Diceros bicornis minor: one gene and its partner. The protein of the gene in region 1 binds, or shares a complex with, the protein of each later gene. Links are inferred from orthologs where the notes say so. Each region holds a gene or a part of one and is shown in the gene's direction. Other genes may lie near its edges.

Region 1 (7,989 bases):
AGTAAATTTCATATTACTTATATTATTAGTCCTGAGGCTAGATTTTTTGTCTAGTTATTAAAATTAGATTTGGGTTTGTCCCAAATATTTGTTAGCAATCGACCTATCTATCAAGAAGCTAATATTTTATTAGTGGAGACAACCAACAACTAATTAAATAATGTTTAATATAATACTGGGTTTAGAGCTAGGGTTATGCAGTGGTCTGAAGAAAAATAAAGTAGGGTAGGGGTATAAAGAGTAGTGGGCATGCTAATTTTGATAGGGTGGTCAAGGAAGCCTTCCCTCGGGAGATGGCATCGGAACAGAGATCTGAATGAAATGAGGGAAGGAACTCTGCAGCTGTCTCATTCATTAGGTGAATGAGTGCTTGTGATGGGCTTGTTAGCTGCAACCTTTTGGTTCTTAGTCACACTTCTTTATATGGGTACTGAACTATTTATATTCCTATGACTTAGGATGCCAAGCAGATTTTACAGTCCAGGAAGGAAGTGCCTAGGCTTCCCATGTCCTTTAAATATCCTTCAGCAATTCACATTTCCCATTACTAACTCAACACTTCTTGAATGGTTTGTCAGTTCTATAAACGAACTTAGTATTAGAAGTCCTTTGAACAGAAAAAGGCATTTGGAAGAACCTACGAGAGGAAAGCAGCTATGGTATGGAGGGAAGAATCTTGGAGTCAAGAGACTTGGGTTTGAATTCGAGCTCACCACTGGCTGTGTGGACTCGCATGTGTCCCCTAACTTTATTGAGTCTGTTTCTTTACCTATACAATGGGCATAATGTATAATTCACATAATTGTTATAAAGGTCAAATGAAGTAATCAATATGAAAAAGACTTGGCATGTTATAGAAAACCAATGTTAGTTGACTTTGAAAGCTTGGACTATCCTGAAAGATAATAGGCTAGGTTGGTTCTCTAATGAAAGAATTGTTACGCATATTACAGTATACTAAAAAGTAGAAATAAGAAATTTATGTTAATATAATATTACATCATTTATTTCTCACACTAACCAGTTATACAAGATAAGTACTATTATTATGCCCATCTAACTCATGACAAAATGAGGCACAAAGAGACTAAATAATCTGTTTGGTCACACAGTAAGCAGTAGAACTGGGATTATGAACCAAGATAATTTGACATCAGTGCTCACGTTCTTAAATACTAAACTATGCAACTGTAATTGAAAAGATTATTTGTCCTGTTAGAAGTCATCATCTTAGGTCCTTCCTAAAGGAATATCACTGTAGAAAGTCACAATAACAATTTTAAAAAATAGAGCATAAAGTAAAGGATAACCAAGTTTAAAAACTGAGTGAATAGGTTTTAAAAAAAACAATGTTAGTGTTAGTTAGAGGTTGGTTTAGATTATATCTAAATTAATATTCAATATTGCAATATTAAGGATCATTTACTTCATTATGCAATTCATATTTTCTGCCTCAAAACCTACTCATTTTAAGAAAAATGGTCGTTTAGTACTGATACCCAGCAAAACAATGACTTGGGTTATCTAGAAATCCTAAATAAAATTCCAATAAAAAAGAGGTAAATACATGATTAAAAACAACTGATGTGTTCCATCAAATTCTTTAAAGTGTTTTACCGTGAGTTAAATCTATAAAGACTAGTAATATACTAGCTTGATGAATACATTATGTAGAGAAAAGATCATGACTACTTATAGACACTAAATGAAAACCAATTATTCCAGGCTTATACATAATAGTTACCATGATACTATGCTGGGCCATTAGTTATGTATTTACCAGATAACTTGATCTAGTAGAATAGAATTTCAATACTATCTCCCATTTCATATATCTTTTTATTACCCTTTCTTTAAGCATAAGTATGAATACAGTAGTAAGGTAACAAATGTAATTTTTTGTGGATTAATAGAGAAATAAAGTATAAAATTTCTGCTCTGTATATTTCAGATTAGCAAAAACAAAACAACCACATACACACGTAAATAAAAATCTAATCATCAAATCTTTAACACGGTAGACTCTAATGGCAATATTAGGCAAACACACACGAATGTGCCATGCAACGAAGTGTATACAAAATGGAGAGAAATTAAGCTATAAAGAATAGGAGTATATGTAAGTATTGTAGAAGTACTAGGATGATAGACAAAAGTGGGGAGTTTTTTGATCAAGAGAAAAGTTAATAAAATGGAGGTTATCACTAAAAGAAGTTTTGAGAATATCACCGGCTTTCAGTCCTATAAGGGGACTGAAATCTCCTTAATTCTTTGCTCTGTTATCTAGCAGCATCATAAAAATAGCACATTTATGCTCTCTCCTCAAAGAAGATAACCAGATACTACTTCTAACCAACAGAAAATACCACTGAGATCAACTGTAATTACTTTGGATAGTTTAAGTAACAGTCTGCCTAAGTAGAAATCCATTCATCCGTTTATTTTTTTTTTAATTCCATCTACTTTAAACCTACTAGAGCTAAACTGACTGAAAAGCTTTCATTAATCACCTCTGATATCCAGGTAAACCAAAACATATGAACAGGCAATGGTTTTGAGTTCTCACACAGCCTCAACTATGTGTGAGTCAACTCAAGCCACCATTATGTACTCAACAATAGCGATGACCCAGCTCTAGGCATTGGCAACACTATCAGCAGGCAGGCACAAGCACCCTGCTTATATTGATCTTCTGGTGTTAACATTCTTAAGAAGTATGGCAAATAGGGATGATATGATGTCTTCCTCATGAGAACCTTATAGCAGCATTCTACTAGATTTCTTTTATCTGTACTGATTGTTGTATTAATAATCAGACTGTGCAGAATAACACTGTCTTGAGAAACGATAGCACACTATCTTAGCGGGAAAGGAAATGTAGGATGCCAATGTGGGGATAAATTTCTAATTGCCAGAGATTGTTGTGAATATAACAATATTTTCGTGAATATTAAAGCCTCTACTGAGGTTAGCTATAAACAAAAAAATTGTCTTGAAATTTTAAAATTGCCACGGTGTACATGATAACGTAAACAAAAGAAAAACTTAAAACATTGTTTAAAAAAATAGCAGGAGAAGCAACTGATCCTTAGGAAGGCACGAGGTTGCTTATTATAAAGCATTTACAGAGTCCGATGCATTTTCAAAGCTGGATACAATCATTACCACAGCACACCCTTGTGAGGTAAGTGTATTATCATCTGTGGTTCATAAATGAAAAAGCCGAGGCACTGAACGATTAAGTCACTCGCCTAAGGAGAATGAGTCAACGTCCAGAGTCATAGTTGACCAGGCCTAACGACTCCTGACGGTCAGCCCAAGGCTTAGTCAGCGGGACCCGGAGTGGCTTTCCTGGCTGTCACCTGGACCTAGGCTATTTCTGTTCACGTTAAAGCAGAATAGTGCAACCGAGAAGACAGACCTTCCAAATAATTGTTCCTTCCACTCAAGATTTAGCCCTGAGGTCTTACTCTCAGCATTTGGGACTGCAAAAGCTGTCGGGTGCACTCCCCCTCCCCCAGCCTGGGGCAAGTGGGCACGGTGGGCGGTTCTGCCACCCCCTTTCGCAGAGATGGCAACGAGTGACCACGACCGGTAGCGGAGCCGGGGACGGGGCAGGGTTGATTCCTTAAACAACGACTCTCCATCGCCGCCTCTTTTTGAAACTAAGGGAAAATGGTGGGAAGTCAAAAGAAAATTAAATAAACACACAACCTGTCCTAGGACCGCAACTAAACAAATGAAGCCTTATTGTGCGTACTGAGCCTTCCGGGGAAGATGGGAGGACAGGGCGACAAAGGGCACAATAGGCATGCCTGGCAGTAAGTGCGACAGCACCTACCCAGGTGGGAGAGCAGAGGACTGAAAACTACCCTCCAGCACGCGAGCGTCGCCGCGCCAAGAACCGCGCACCCTACCCATCGACCACGTGACCACGCCTTTTTTTTAAACTTCTTTGCCCTGAAGAGAAAAAAAAAAAAAAAAAAGAGAGACAGAGGGAGGGAGAAAAGAGACTCCACTTCCCAGAAGCCCCTGGTCATTCACGCAGCCGCAGTCTTGCGCAGGCGCCGCCAGGGCCAAACGGACACGTCCGTCACGTGGACAGTAGCCGGCCAATCCGGTTTGAATCTCATTTTTTTCTCTCACCCCCCCTCCAGGAGCGGTTGTGCGATCAGATCGATCTAAGATGGCGACTGTGGAACCGGTGAGTATTGCCTTTGGCCCCCACCCCCTCGGGTCCCCGCGCTCCGGCCCCCTTCGGACTAGGGGACCCCGCGGGACGGCGTTCCTGGCGCGCACGCTACCCCTTGCCGCCCCCTCCCCCTCTTCTTGGGCCTGACCTGCCCGCGGGCCCCGGGGGGCGCCCCGGAGGCTGGCGGCGCGGCGTGGAGCGCACACGTTCTGGTGGGGGCTGAGAGCTGGGGGAGAGGCGTGGGGGAGGGGCGGCGCCCCCTGCCGCGCCGCGGGTGTCGACCAGGGTGCAGGGAGACCGTGGCCCCGGGCTGGGTGTGTGGGGATTGTGCCTTCGGGACAGGAAGGCGCGGGGCCGGCCCCGAGCGGGCGCCGGGATCCGCAGGGAGGGTGGGTGGCGAGCCGGCCTGGAAGGAGATCGAGGAGGGAGCCCCGGGGCAGCCTATCCCTCCCTCCCTCCTGAGCTCCCGCCCGGGGGTTCGGGTGCGGGCGCGCGCGGGTCTTCACCGACCAGCGTGCCGGGGAGCCGGTGGGCGCGCGTGGCCGGAGGGTGGGTTGGGCGGGAGCGGCGCCGCGGCACGCGCGGAGAGCGTCGACCTCGCCGAGGGGCGCCGAGGGGCGAGCGCATGGTACTCCAGCGCCCGGGAGTGGCCGGGGCTGGCGGCCGGGGAGGCGAGGGCGGTTTGGGGTGGGGAGGAGAGCCGCGTGTCGCGCGGTAAAGCTTTCTGAGTAGGATGAAGGGTGGTGGTGGTGGTGGTGAGAAGGGGGATCACATTGTCCTCGCCCCTCCATGCTCGAGCCTGGGCTGTCATGGAGGAGGGAAGGGGAGGAGCGAGGCCTACTGAGCGCTGCCGCCGGTCTGGTTGCCGGCCGGACCTGCTGCGTTTCACACGAGCCTCTTCCATTCATTCATGCTTTCCGCGCAGTGCGCACGCCTCAGAGAAGCGAATGGGTCTACATCCAGCTGTTCTTCCGAGTCCTTGTCGTCTGGAAGACTTCTAAGGCGCGGTTTATTGGAATCAAGAACTTAACTTTTAAAATTAAGCTTCCCTTTGAATGTTTTCTCTTTATCTGTTCTACCCACTTTCCTCTCAATGTAGGCACCATCTTAAACTTGGTTGAAGCAAGCTGATCCCGGAGCAGAAAATTGGTAGTTAACCCCAAGGAGAGAGAGTATCTTGGTCATAGTTTGAGTTTGCCAGCATTAGCACTGACGCTGAAACTTCTAGGCCTATGTTGCCGTTTTAGGAATGTCACATCTGAGTGACATTGTTTTAGAGGCATAATGGGCTATGTTAATAACCAGAAAACCTTTGACACTCTGGAACCAGTTCTAGACCTTGGTTGCCAGATATTTTTGTGTATCTGTAGTGGTAGTTTGTGATTTTGATAATGGCTTACCAATTTGCTTTGACTTTTTTTTTTTTAATAACTGTTTCAAAAACTAGTCATGGAGAGGCCTACAGAATACAAAAAGGCTTCTTTTTCATTACATTAATGTGAACTATCCTTACCTTGTTGCCCGGATTTAAGGCAGTTTTTCTACTTGATTACTTGTTCTTTAATTGGTACCAGTTTTTATTTATGTTCCTAGAAATCAGGTTGACTGCAAAACTGTCTCAAGTAGTTGATACAATTAACTGACTTTAGAACATTAATGCTACATAGCTAAAGACGTAGGATAAATATGTAAACTTTTAATTTAAATCCCTTTTAGGGTGTTGTCCACTTCTGGCTGGATCTGCTCTGCTATTCACTTGTACCAGTGTCACTAAAAAGCATTACAGCTGGTAATAGGGGCAAGACTCATACCTCAAAACATAAAACAGTAATGTATTCTGTGAAGTTTCAGTAACATTTAGGTCCTTTGGATTTTGCAAAGTTATGCAGTTTTGTTTCAACAGCAGAGAACTACAAAGTGTTGAAGGATTAGTTTGAGTTAGTAAATATAGCCCCTGATATATTTAGGACGTTGAACCAAGCATTCTTTAGAAATACAAAGTTATACAAGATGTGATTCTATACCTTATTCAATGTAAACTGTTAAAGAGCTTAATTGCCAGTGATGTGGTCAGTGATACAGTATAGAATTTGTTCTAGTGCTGACCCAGAGATTTGGATACTGCATTTAGGTTTGGGGAGCAGGAAACTTAAAAACCTAAAGTGTGTGAAAATGGAAAGCCAGGTTAAACTGTAGTAGTTTGAGGATGTATGTAAAATAACATTGAAGTGTTCATTTTTAGTGAAAATGCACATTTTTAGTACTTTTAATGCACGCTTGTCCACAAGTTAGTAGTTTAGATTCTTTTTGACAATTTTAAATAGTGGGAATTTTTTTTTAAGCAGTTGATTAGTATTGGTTACAATTGAGGTATCCCTGCTGAAGCCTACAGAAAGCATATTTGTTCATTGCTGTTTCAGCTCGCTTGTGAGTTTCCTTATTGCTTTTCTGCTAGGCATAATCATAAGCACTTAAAGAGCCATGGGTTTTTCCTGCTTGTTCCACTTTTCATAAGCGTTTGGGGGAATTTTTATCTATGGAAGTTATATAAAACATCAGTCATTTTCAATTTGATATTATCGTGTGGGTTTTCTCAAGTGTATGTGTATGAGTTCAGTGACATTAAGATATGGCTTACAAATAGTAAATTTGTTGAGAAGTTTGACAGGGCAAATTAAAGGAAGCATTTTACCTCTTTACAGGTAATATGGCAAAATTTTGAACATTGGGATAAACGATACTCTCCTGTTACTGTCTTGGCATTTGAATTGTGGCTGAGTCAAAATTAGACTTAATATTAGTTGGTGAAGAGGGCAAGGCAGTTTCCCCAGGCGGTCTTGCCTCAGTGGGTCTTGTTTCTTTGTAGCTTTATCTTTATTCTACATTCTTCATTGTTGGGCTTTTTTTTTGACTTGTAGTTCTTTTCAAGGTAAGAGATTAATTTTGGTTTCTTTAGTTAAACTGAAGGTATATAATGTTACTTGTTTTCACATTGTATCTCTTGAATTTTTTTATAAATTAAAAATTAATTTCATAAGTGGAATCAACTTGGATGGTCAGCTGATCTAATGTTTCCTTTTTTATCCTTTAGAAACATGCTTTGTATTGCAGAGTTTATTTATTAAAAGTGAATAAGGCTTAAATACATATTGACAAATATGTTGTTATATAATTCAGTGTTTTTTGTTGACCAAAAATTGTTGATTAACAAGCAGATCTTGCAAGTTAATATGTGTGTTTTTGCTTTAATGAAAGAACCCAGTATATCAAACTTTGTTCATAAACCAAATAAATTCAGTTCTGGTATTTATATTCAAATTTCACTAAATTTTATGCTTTGAATTAATATTATGCATAATTATTTGACTTAGAGAAATTCAACTTAGAAACAGACACAGTTTACACACCGAAGTTCCAGAGAATAAAATGCAAAATGAATTATGTAAGCTTAAGCCAATTTGGATAGAAAATTTTAGGCAAAGAAATTTTTATAAAATATTCTGTTCAATTTATATCAAGTTAAGAATATAGTAAAAGTAACAATAGTCATGGATATAACAAGGAACCTGTGAAATAATTGCTCTAGCAATAGTAATTTCTACTTTCCCTTGCCTTCTAATATTGGAAATTTCCTTGCTCTTCTGGTACCTGTGAACTGCTCCATTTTTGTCATAGAGACATTTTTGAAATGTGGACATGAGCATGGCTTATATTCTAATTTTAATATCTGTGTCACCTTGAAGACTGAACTTTCTAAGTCTAGCTGAAAAAAGGAAATTAAGAAGATAGCTTACAGT
Region 2 (7,854 bases), on another chromosome or scaffold:
GTGGCTGCCATGCAGCCCCGAATGCTGGTTACATTCGATGAGGAGCTGCGGCCATTGCCAGTATCTGTCCGTGTGGGCCAGGTGAGGGGTTGAGCAGAGGGGAGGGCTCAGGCTGTACAGTCATGTGCTGTATAACAATGTTTCAGTCAATGATGGACCGTGTATACAATGATGGTCCCATAAGATTAGTAGCATAGATCCTGGGTGTATAGTAGGCTACACCATCTAGGTTTGTACAAGTACACTCTATGATGTTTGCACAACGATGAAATCGCCTAACAATGCATTTCTCAGAACATATCCCCATCATTAAGTGATGCATGACTGTACTTTAAAACTTGGAGAGTGCACATATGCCTGCTTTTCTGAAACTGGTGTGAGCACTGGGTTGCTGCGACACTCCCATTTGGAGTCCCTTCATCTCAATTTTCTTATCCTACAGGCAGTGGATGTGGTGGGCCAGGCCGGCAAGCCTAAGACCATCACAGGGTTCCAGACACACACAACGCCAGTGTTGTTGGCCCACGGGGAACGGGCAGAATTGGCCACTGAGGAGTTTCTTCCTGTCACCCCCATTTTGGAAGGTTTTGTTATCCTTCGGAAGAACCCCAACTATGACCTCTAAGTGGCCACCAGGGCCTTTGAGCTGCAGCTGTTGTCAGTGGGCCGTGCTTCCTGCTGCCAGGGGTGGACACTGCTCCAGACTTGTGAGGGAATTGTTACCTCCTGTTCTTTTGTTACCAAGTGAGATAACTTTGTTGAATAAAGACCTTTATCCCCGAGGTCCCTCTGTGTCTCTTTTCTGGGGTACCATGGGCTGGAGGTCAGACTCGGGTGGGGAGTAGATGTGAGACAGCATTGTTTGTAGCAGTTTTGAGCTGAGGCTAGGAGAGAGACTGCCCTGAATGGAAAGAACTAAGACTCTTTCCCTTCTCTCCTCCTTCCTAATCATCTTTAAAAAGTGGTTCATGTTTAGGGGCATGAACCCTTAAGAAGCTGATAAATGTAATGGATCTTCTTTCTAGGAGATGCATACACACAAATTTTCATACAAATTCGTACAAATAACTTTCCAAGGTGGATCCCATACATCCCCTACTCCCACCCACCAATGCACGCCCACCTCAAGCCCATCATTTCCTGACTTTGGACTAAGGATACCTGCTCTAAGAGGCAGCAGAGTTAGCTCCACTCTTTCTAACTCGACTCCTGGGCCGCTGATTGAAAGGGACGTCTTTACCTCCTGTGACCCTCTTTTCCTCCTTGGGAGGTTGCTATTTGAGAGATTTGATCATATTAACATCTATTTCTGGACTGTCCTTGCAGAAACTGGGTGCAAGAAAGCTTGACCCTGACCTTCCTCTCAGTGTAGCAATGGGAAAGAGAAGTGGGCTCCTTCCTGGAATATAATCACCCTTGATCTGCAGTGCTTCTTCCTGGTGGGGCTGGTATGAGTATAGCAACCCTGCCAGGTGGGGCATGGACCCCGCGGATGCAGTGGAGAACACGTGGCCCTGCCAGATAATCACTAGCATTTACCCAACACTGGGGTTTACCCTCTGAACAGTAACTGGCACTTAATAGGTCTTCTATAAATGTTGGAAGAATAATTGTCCTACACGCTTTTGAGACCTCACAATAACTTTGAGAGGTAGGTATTATCCCTGTGTTTTGGGGAGGAATGTAGTTTGGGTGAGGTTTGGTAACTTAGTCACATAGTAAATGGTGGGGCCAGGATTGGAGTCTAAGTCCATCTGACTCCAAAGCCCACACCCTCATTGACCACATTAATCTGTCTCTGTAGCCTTGGAGACTTGCGGACCCTATTGTAGTCCAAGGTATTGGCTAGGTGGAGAAGTGGAAATTTTGGATTGAGTGTCTCCGTTGTCTCCTCTCTGCACTCACTTGGCAGCCTGTATAAAATCTGTAAAAGGTTGAAGCACTGGACTTGGGAGTCAAGTCCCTTTAATGGGACCTGCTGTAGTCTGAGCAAATCAGCATGTCTGATGAGCCTCTGTTATCATCTGTATTACTTGGATAGAGTAATTGCCTTTCCTGATTTCCAATAGTGGTGATGTTAAAATAAGGTAAATTAGAAAGTGATTTGTAAACTGCAAAACAACATAAATAAAAAGATAATTCTCTCCTAAATCAGTGATTGTGCTTTAGAGTAAGAAATTTTCATAGTGGCTCTCAACCTTTCACATTTGGTCATGCATTCTGCAACAAATATCAATGGAGCCTTATTCTGCATTGGGCATTATTCTAGCTTGTGGGGATGCAAAGATAGAAAAAAAAAATCCTATCAAAGCTTATGTAGGGCTGGCCCTGTGGCTTAGCGGTTAAGTGCGCACGCTCCTCTGCTGGCAGCCCGGGTTCAGATCATGGGCGTGCACCAATGCACCGCTTCTCCGGCCATGCTGAGGCTGCGTCCCACATACAGCAACTAGAAGGATGTGCAGCTATGACATACAACTGTCTACTGGGGCTTTGGGGGGAAAAATAAATAAATAAATTACAAAGCTTATGTAATGGAAAATAATTGTGATATATCATGATAGATACTGTATTGGGCTGTGAACAAGGTACCCTGGGATCACTGAAATAAGGCTTAAGTGCCTGGGTAGGTCAGGGGAGATTTTGAGGAAACAGACTTGGAGGAAGATGAGTTTTTCCAGAAGAAAAGAGAGTAGGATAAAACTAAGGGAGCAGCAAAAGCAGGAGGGCAGAAAAGCTATTCATTTTAAAAAACCAGGGATATGGGCCGGCCCCGTGGCTTAGCGGTTAAGTGCGTGCGCTCCGCTGCTGGCGACCCGGGTTCGGATCCTGGGCGTGCACTGACGCGCCGCTTCTCCGGCCATGCTGAGGCCGAGTCTCACATACAGCAACTAGAAGGATGTGCAGCTATGACGTACAACTATCTACTGGGGCTTTGGGGGGAAAAAAATAAATAAATAAAATTATAAAAAAAAAAAAAAAAACAGGGATAGCTTGGTTTGACAAAGGGTATAGGGCCAGGGAAAAGTGTGGTAGGAGATACAGTTAGAGACAGAGGCTCAGATAGGTTTAGAAGAGCTTTGTTGTGCTAAGAAATTGACAGTATCACTCAATGGGAACCACTGAATGAGAGCATGATCAGCTACCTGGGTGAGAAAGCTCACCATTGAGGTGCGGAGACCAGGCAAAGGAAATGAAGGCCTGAACCAGGGCAGTAGAAATGGGGGGATGGGGAAGCACAGAAGAATAATTTTTTAAAGATAAAATCCACAGGACTTGATTTTGATCCAAACACCAATAGGACCTGGTGTCTGATTAGATGTAGTATGTGGATGAGAAGGAATGTAGGATGGATCCCAGATTTTCTGGTTGGATGCTATTCATTGAAAAAGAATACATGAGCAACACCAGGTTTGGGGTCAAGGTGTAGGACTCTATGTAGAGAGAGATGACAAATTCCTATCTGGGCATACACAATTTGAGATGCCTCTGGGGTGATTAGGTGATTATGTATTTTATGTAGCACCTTTTTCTTACTGGAGTTTGAGAGAGTGGTTTCTGATCTAGGAAGGGATTGGCATGTAGGCAGTAACTGATTTTTATTTATTAGTTTGCTTATGCAGAAAGAGAAATGAGAAGAGTACAGAAGGCAGCCATACACAGTAAAGTCACAGAACTCAAATGAAGAGTGTCACAGAGAACACTCTAGATTTGCATTTTCATTCTCACTATGGTTCCTTCTCGATGTGTCTATTTTGCTTTCCTTTCTTTGGAGCTTTAGTTTCTCATATACAATGGGAATAATAATACAATCTATTTTGTAGGAAATTGTGAGGACTATATATGACATACGTCATATATATTAAGTGACCAGTTCATCGATTGGTGCTGAGAAAACCTTTTCTTCTGAGATTTTATGTGTATATACACAGAGAGAGGAGAAGGGAGAGGGGAGAAGACAGAGGACAGAGGTAGAGAGAGGAGAGGGTATCCAGGCACTGTTTTAAGCACTTTCACATGAATTAACTCCTTTAATCCTCTCAATCCGATACAATGGGTATTATCATTGTGAGAAAAAGCACAGTGGTTAAAAGCTCAGACTTGAGTTCAAATCTTCCCATTTTACAACAGGTATTAGGTAGGTAGGTAGGTATGTGGCCAGGGAGTAAGCAGCAGAGTTTGGATTAAAACTCAGGCTATCTGACTGAGTAAATACGTGGATTTGGCTCTAGTACGGTCCCTTCTGGTGTCCAAAATTTTTTGGCTAACGGGCAGGGGTTTTGGGATTACTTCTTCTACCATTATTCTGAACTTTCTATGCTTGAGTTTGTCCCTCTCTGGGAGCGGCTGATCTTTGTAAAAGACAAATCTAACAATACTAATTCCCTAGTTAGAATGTTTCAATACTTCTAGAGTAACATTCAGTTTAATTGGTCTTTTCATGAGCTAACCTACATTATTTTCAAAGGCTGCATAATTCGTATTTCTTTCCGTACTTATTGCATGATTTACTTAGGCAGGACTGAGTCTTTAATTTCAGTATTCTCAGCTCCCAGCGAGCACTTCACCTAGCGCTTAGTATGCACTCCATAAATGCTTGCTCAAAGTATGAATGAACTAAAGAACCACGGAACACAGACGCAGAAGGGGGTCGGTCTGGGAGTTCCAAAGTTCGGGAGGGGACACGGGGGCGGGCAGTGGCAGTCACATGACGAGGCGGGGCAAATCCCATGTGCTCCGCGGCGCCAGGCGCGGCTCCGCCCTCTGCGCCGGTCACGTGGGGGCGCCGGCTGCGCCTGCGGAGAAGCGGTGGCCGCCGAGCGGGATCTGTGCGGGGAGCCGGAAATGGTTGTGGACTACGTCTGTGCGGCTGCGTGGGGCTCGGCCGCGCGGACTGAAGGAGACTGAAGGTAAAGCCGCCATGTCCGGGCCCGACCCGGCCCCCCCACCCCCTCCCCCCGCATCCGCCGCCATCCAGGCCGGGACCGGCCACCCTGCGCCGCCGCCCTGGCACCCTGGCTCCGCGGCCCAAGCCCGGGCCCCGGCCCTCCAGGGCCCGATCTCCGGCCCACGTGTGCCCGGCCTGGCTGCTGGGTGGGGGCGGGGGAGCGCCGGGCCGGAATATGCGGTCCCCGCGGGCAGGGAGGGCGCCGAGTTCGCCTGTCGCGAGGTGCCACCTCGGCTCGACCCGAGGAGGCCCCGCGGGCGCAGCACCGCGGCTCCCGGCCCGCCGCCCCATCCCCCCTTTGCGGCCCGGCCGCCGGGAAGTGACACGTTGTTCTTTGGCACTGGCCGGCGCTGCGCAGGGAGGGCGCAGGGGAGGGAGGCAGCGGCGGCGGGCAGGGAGGAGCCCCCGGCCCCGCCCGGCCTCCGGGCCGACCCTCACTTGTTTGAAACCGGCTTCTCTTCGGCCGCCGCCCGCCTGGCCTTTTACGGCCCGACTCCCGCCCTTCCTGGCCTCCACGCCTGGGTGGCGGCAGGCCTCGCCTCTGGCCCCGCGCGAGTGCCCCCGCGGCAGGCGTGCCTTGTGTGCCCCTGGGCCAGGCCCCGAACCCGGTGTCCCCGGGTGGGGGGTGGGGACACCACGGCCGAAGCTACTAGCTCCGTTTGTGATCCGGGAGCCTGGTGCCAGCGAGACCTGGAATTTCCGGTCTGGTTGGTCTTGGGCCCCGCGGAGCCAGGTTGATACCCCTCAACTCCCAACCCCAGGCCCTCGGATGCCCAGAACCTGTAGGCCGCACCGTGGACTTACTGTTAACCGAGGGGGTGAGTGAGGTGGCTCTTTCATCAGGTCAGGGAGGTGGTTGGAGGTGATGCGGGTTTGACAACGTGTTGATGGGGACATAAGCTGGATCCTTGCTGCTCCTTCACCCTCTTGGCGCCTCCGGGGGTCGGTATGGGACTCAGCCCTTGCTTCAACCCCTCCCCCAGTCCATTTGCCTTAAGCTTGGGTCCCTTCTCCTTTCCGAGCTCCACTCTTTCCCAACAGGTGCTGGGGGGACCCTGATGTGGCACCAAATGAAATGAACAAAGCTCCACAGCCCACAGGCCCCCCACCCGCCCCATCCCCTGGACTCCCACAGGTAATTAGGGACGAATTAGCAGAGACTGGGGTGGGGGTGGGGGGACCAGGCAGCTGGGTCAGAAACAGGTTCTAGCCTCTGGATTTCCCACCCCCATCTGTGTCAGGGCAAAGTGCAGCTTCCTGCTGCCAAATTGAGACAGAGCCCCTGGGCTGTTCCCAGGGGCTGTCATGGGGAGGGGGTATGTGGACTGCTGAGACTCTTGTCACAGATCTGCTCCCCTTACTTCACCAGCTTGGGTTTCTGCCCCACCCGGGTTTCCCCTCTTGCTGAACTCTGGTCTCCCTCCTTCAGCCAGCGTTTCCCCCGGGGCAGACAGCACCGGTGGTGTTCAGTACGCCACAAGCGACACAAATGAACACGCCTTCTCAGCCCCGCCAGGTGAGGGGCCGTGGGGAGGGGAGTAGGGGGCCTGGGTGGGGCCTTGGAAAGCTTGGGCCAGTTTGGGTCTAGGATGGAAACTCTGGAGGCCCTGTACCTGCCCCAGTTTCCTGACAGTTGCTCTGTGTTCTTTTGTGCAGCTCTGCACTTTGCGCTGTTGATTACTTACAGTATCTGGCCCCTTGGGGAGTATGTAGTTGGTGGGGGTGGCGTTACTAGGGGTCCTGGTGACTTGAGAATTGGGGGCAGTGCTTTGGACCCTGCTGCCAACTCCTGCTTTCCTATTTCCTCCTTTTACTGGGAGGTTGCCATTGCTCTGTTCCCCTTCCCTTCTTTCTCTTGGGGCTATGATGGGATAAACATTCCAGCTGGTTCTTGCCTTTATCTATACCCTAAATTCTTCCTCGCTAAGTGGGAGGATTCTTGTCCTACTTCCTTCATTGTTCCCCCTCATCACCTTGGGGATAATTCTCTTCTTTCCTGTCCCCACGTGCTCTCAGGGAGGATTCAGGTCTCTGCAGGTAATACCCCTTTGCTAATCCTGGACCTTCTCTTGGTCTCACCCTTACCCTCCACCCTAGTCAGGGGCTAGATGCAAGGACTGGGGCTCTTCAGGGTGGGGACTTGTTTGTCATTCAAGTCCTCAGTCTGAGCCTGACTGATGCATGTTAGGGGCTATATCTCGCAGAGCGTGCATCTGGGACCTGGGAGACTTGCATGTTAGTGGTTAGTTCCTCAGTGCCTTAGGTGGAGCAGTGCATGCTGAGGAGTATGTTGCCCGAAAGGACTTTACTTAGGCATGATGCATCTGGGTATCAGGCAGCCTCTGCATAGGGGTCGCCTGGTGGAGGTGACATGAGTATGCATGGCAGTGAGGGAGTAAATATATGCAGAGTGCAAAGTGTATACCTGAGTTTGGAGGGCATGTGTGAGTACAAGAGGCCAGTTAATCATCAGTTGGTCAAGTGGGTCTTGGAAGTATTGGTCTCCATGCTCCAAAGCCCCTAGTACTTCTCTCCAGTCTAGAGACATTGTGGAATGGCCATTTTGCTGTCCACTTCCTCCCCTTCCCAATGCCAACTGCCTTCCTCCCTCCTGACAGCACTTCTACCCTAGCCGGGCCCAGCCCCCGAGCAGTGCAGCCTCCCGAGTGCAGAGTGCAGCCCCCGCCCGCCCTGGCCCAGCTGCCCATGTCTACCCTGCTGGATCCCAAGTAATGATGATCCCTTCCCAGATCTCCTACCCAGCCTCCCAGGGGGCCTACTACATCCCCGGACAGGTGAGGCTGGAGGCTTGGGGGCTGGAAGCCACAGAGCCTTGTACCCCAACCCTCGCCTCCCTCACCCTGACCTTCCAATCCCATCTCTTCTCCAGAGGTGGGACTTGCTTCTGG

Evidence for each region.
Region 2: the proteins of EIF4E (region 1) and EIF4G1 are in contact, whole or in part, in a crystal structure (PDB 5T46), measured with the Homo sapiens proteins. The link is inferred for Diceros bicornis minor from reciprocal best matches to the Homo sapiens genes EIF4E and EIF4G1. Residues at the interface, in NP_001959.1 of Homo sapiens: Pro31, Tyr34, Lys36, His37, Pro38, Leu39, Gln40, Phe47, Lys49, Arg61, Leu62, Ile63, Ser64, Val69, Glu70, Trp73, Ala74, Leu75, Tyr76, Asn77, His78, Ile79, Gln80, Leu85, Tyr91, Glu132, Leu135, Ile138, Gly139, Glu140; in NP_937884.2 of Homo sapiens: Glu608, Lys609, Lys610, Arg611, Tyr612, Arg614, Phe616, Leu617, Leu618, Phe620, Gln621, Phe622, Ile623, Phe624, Ala625, Ser626, Met627, Gln628, Lys629, Pro630, Leu633, Pro634, Ile636, Asp638, Val639, Val640, Leu641.

The regions. Positions count from the first base shown.
Region 1 is NC_080747.1:81,778,428-81,786,416, reverse strand, and holds the start of EIF4E (eukaryotic translation initiation factor 4E), read left to right. Parts: upstream 1-4,966; 5' UTR 4,967-4,981; coding exon 4,982-5,194; intron 5,195-7,989. UniProt on the Homo sapiens protein: Acts in the cytoplasm to initiate and regulate protein synthesis and is required in the nucleus for export of a subset of mRNAs from the nucleus to the cytoplasm which promotes processes such as RNA capping, processing and splicing.
Region 2 is NC_080754.1:39,381,054-39,388,907, reverse strand, and holds the start of EIF4G1 (eukaryotic translation initiation factor 4 gamma 1), read left to right. Parts: upstream 1-4,798; 5' UTR 4,799-4,907; intron 4,908-5,706; 5' UTR 5,707-5,763; intron 5,764-5,986; 5' UTR 5,987-6,020; coding exon 6,021-6,080; intron 6,081-6,314; exon of another isoform or gene 6,315-6,374; coding exon 6,375-6,461; intron 6,462-7,563; coding exon 7,564-7,740; intron 7,741-7,854. Other genes in the region: PSMD2 (26S proteasome non-ATPase regulatory subunit 2), read left to right, coding at 1-81, 443-625.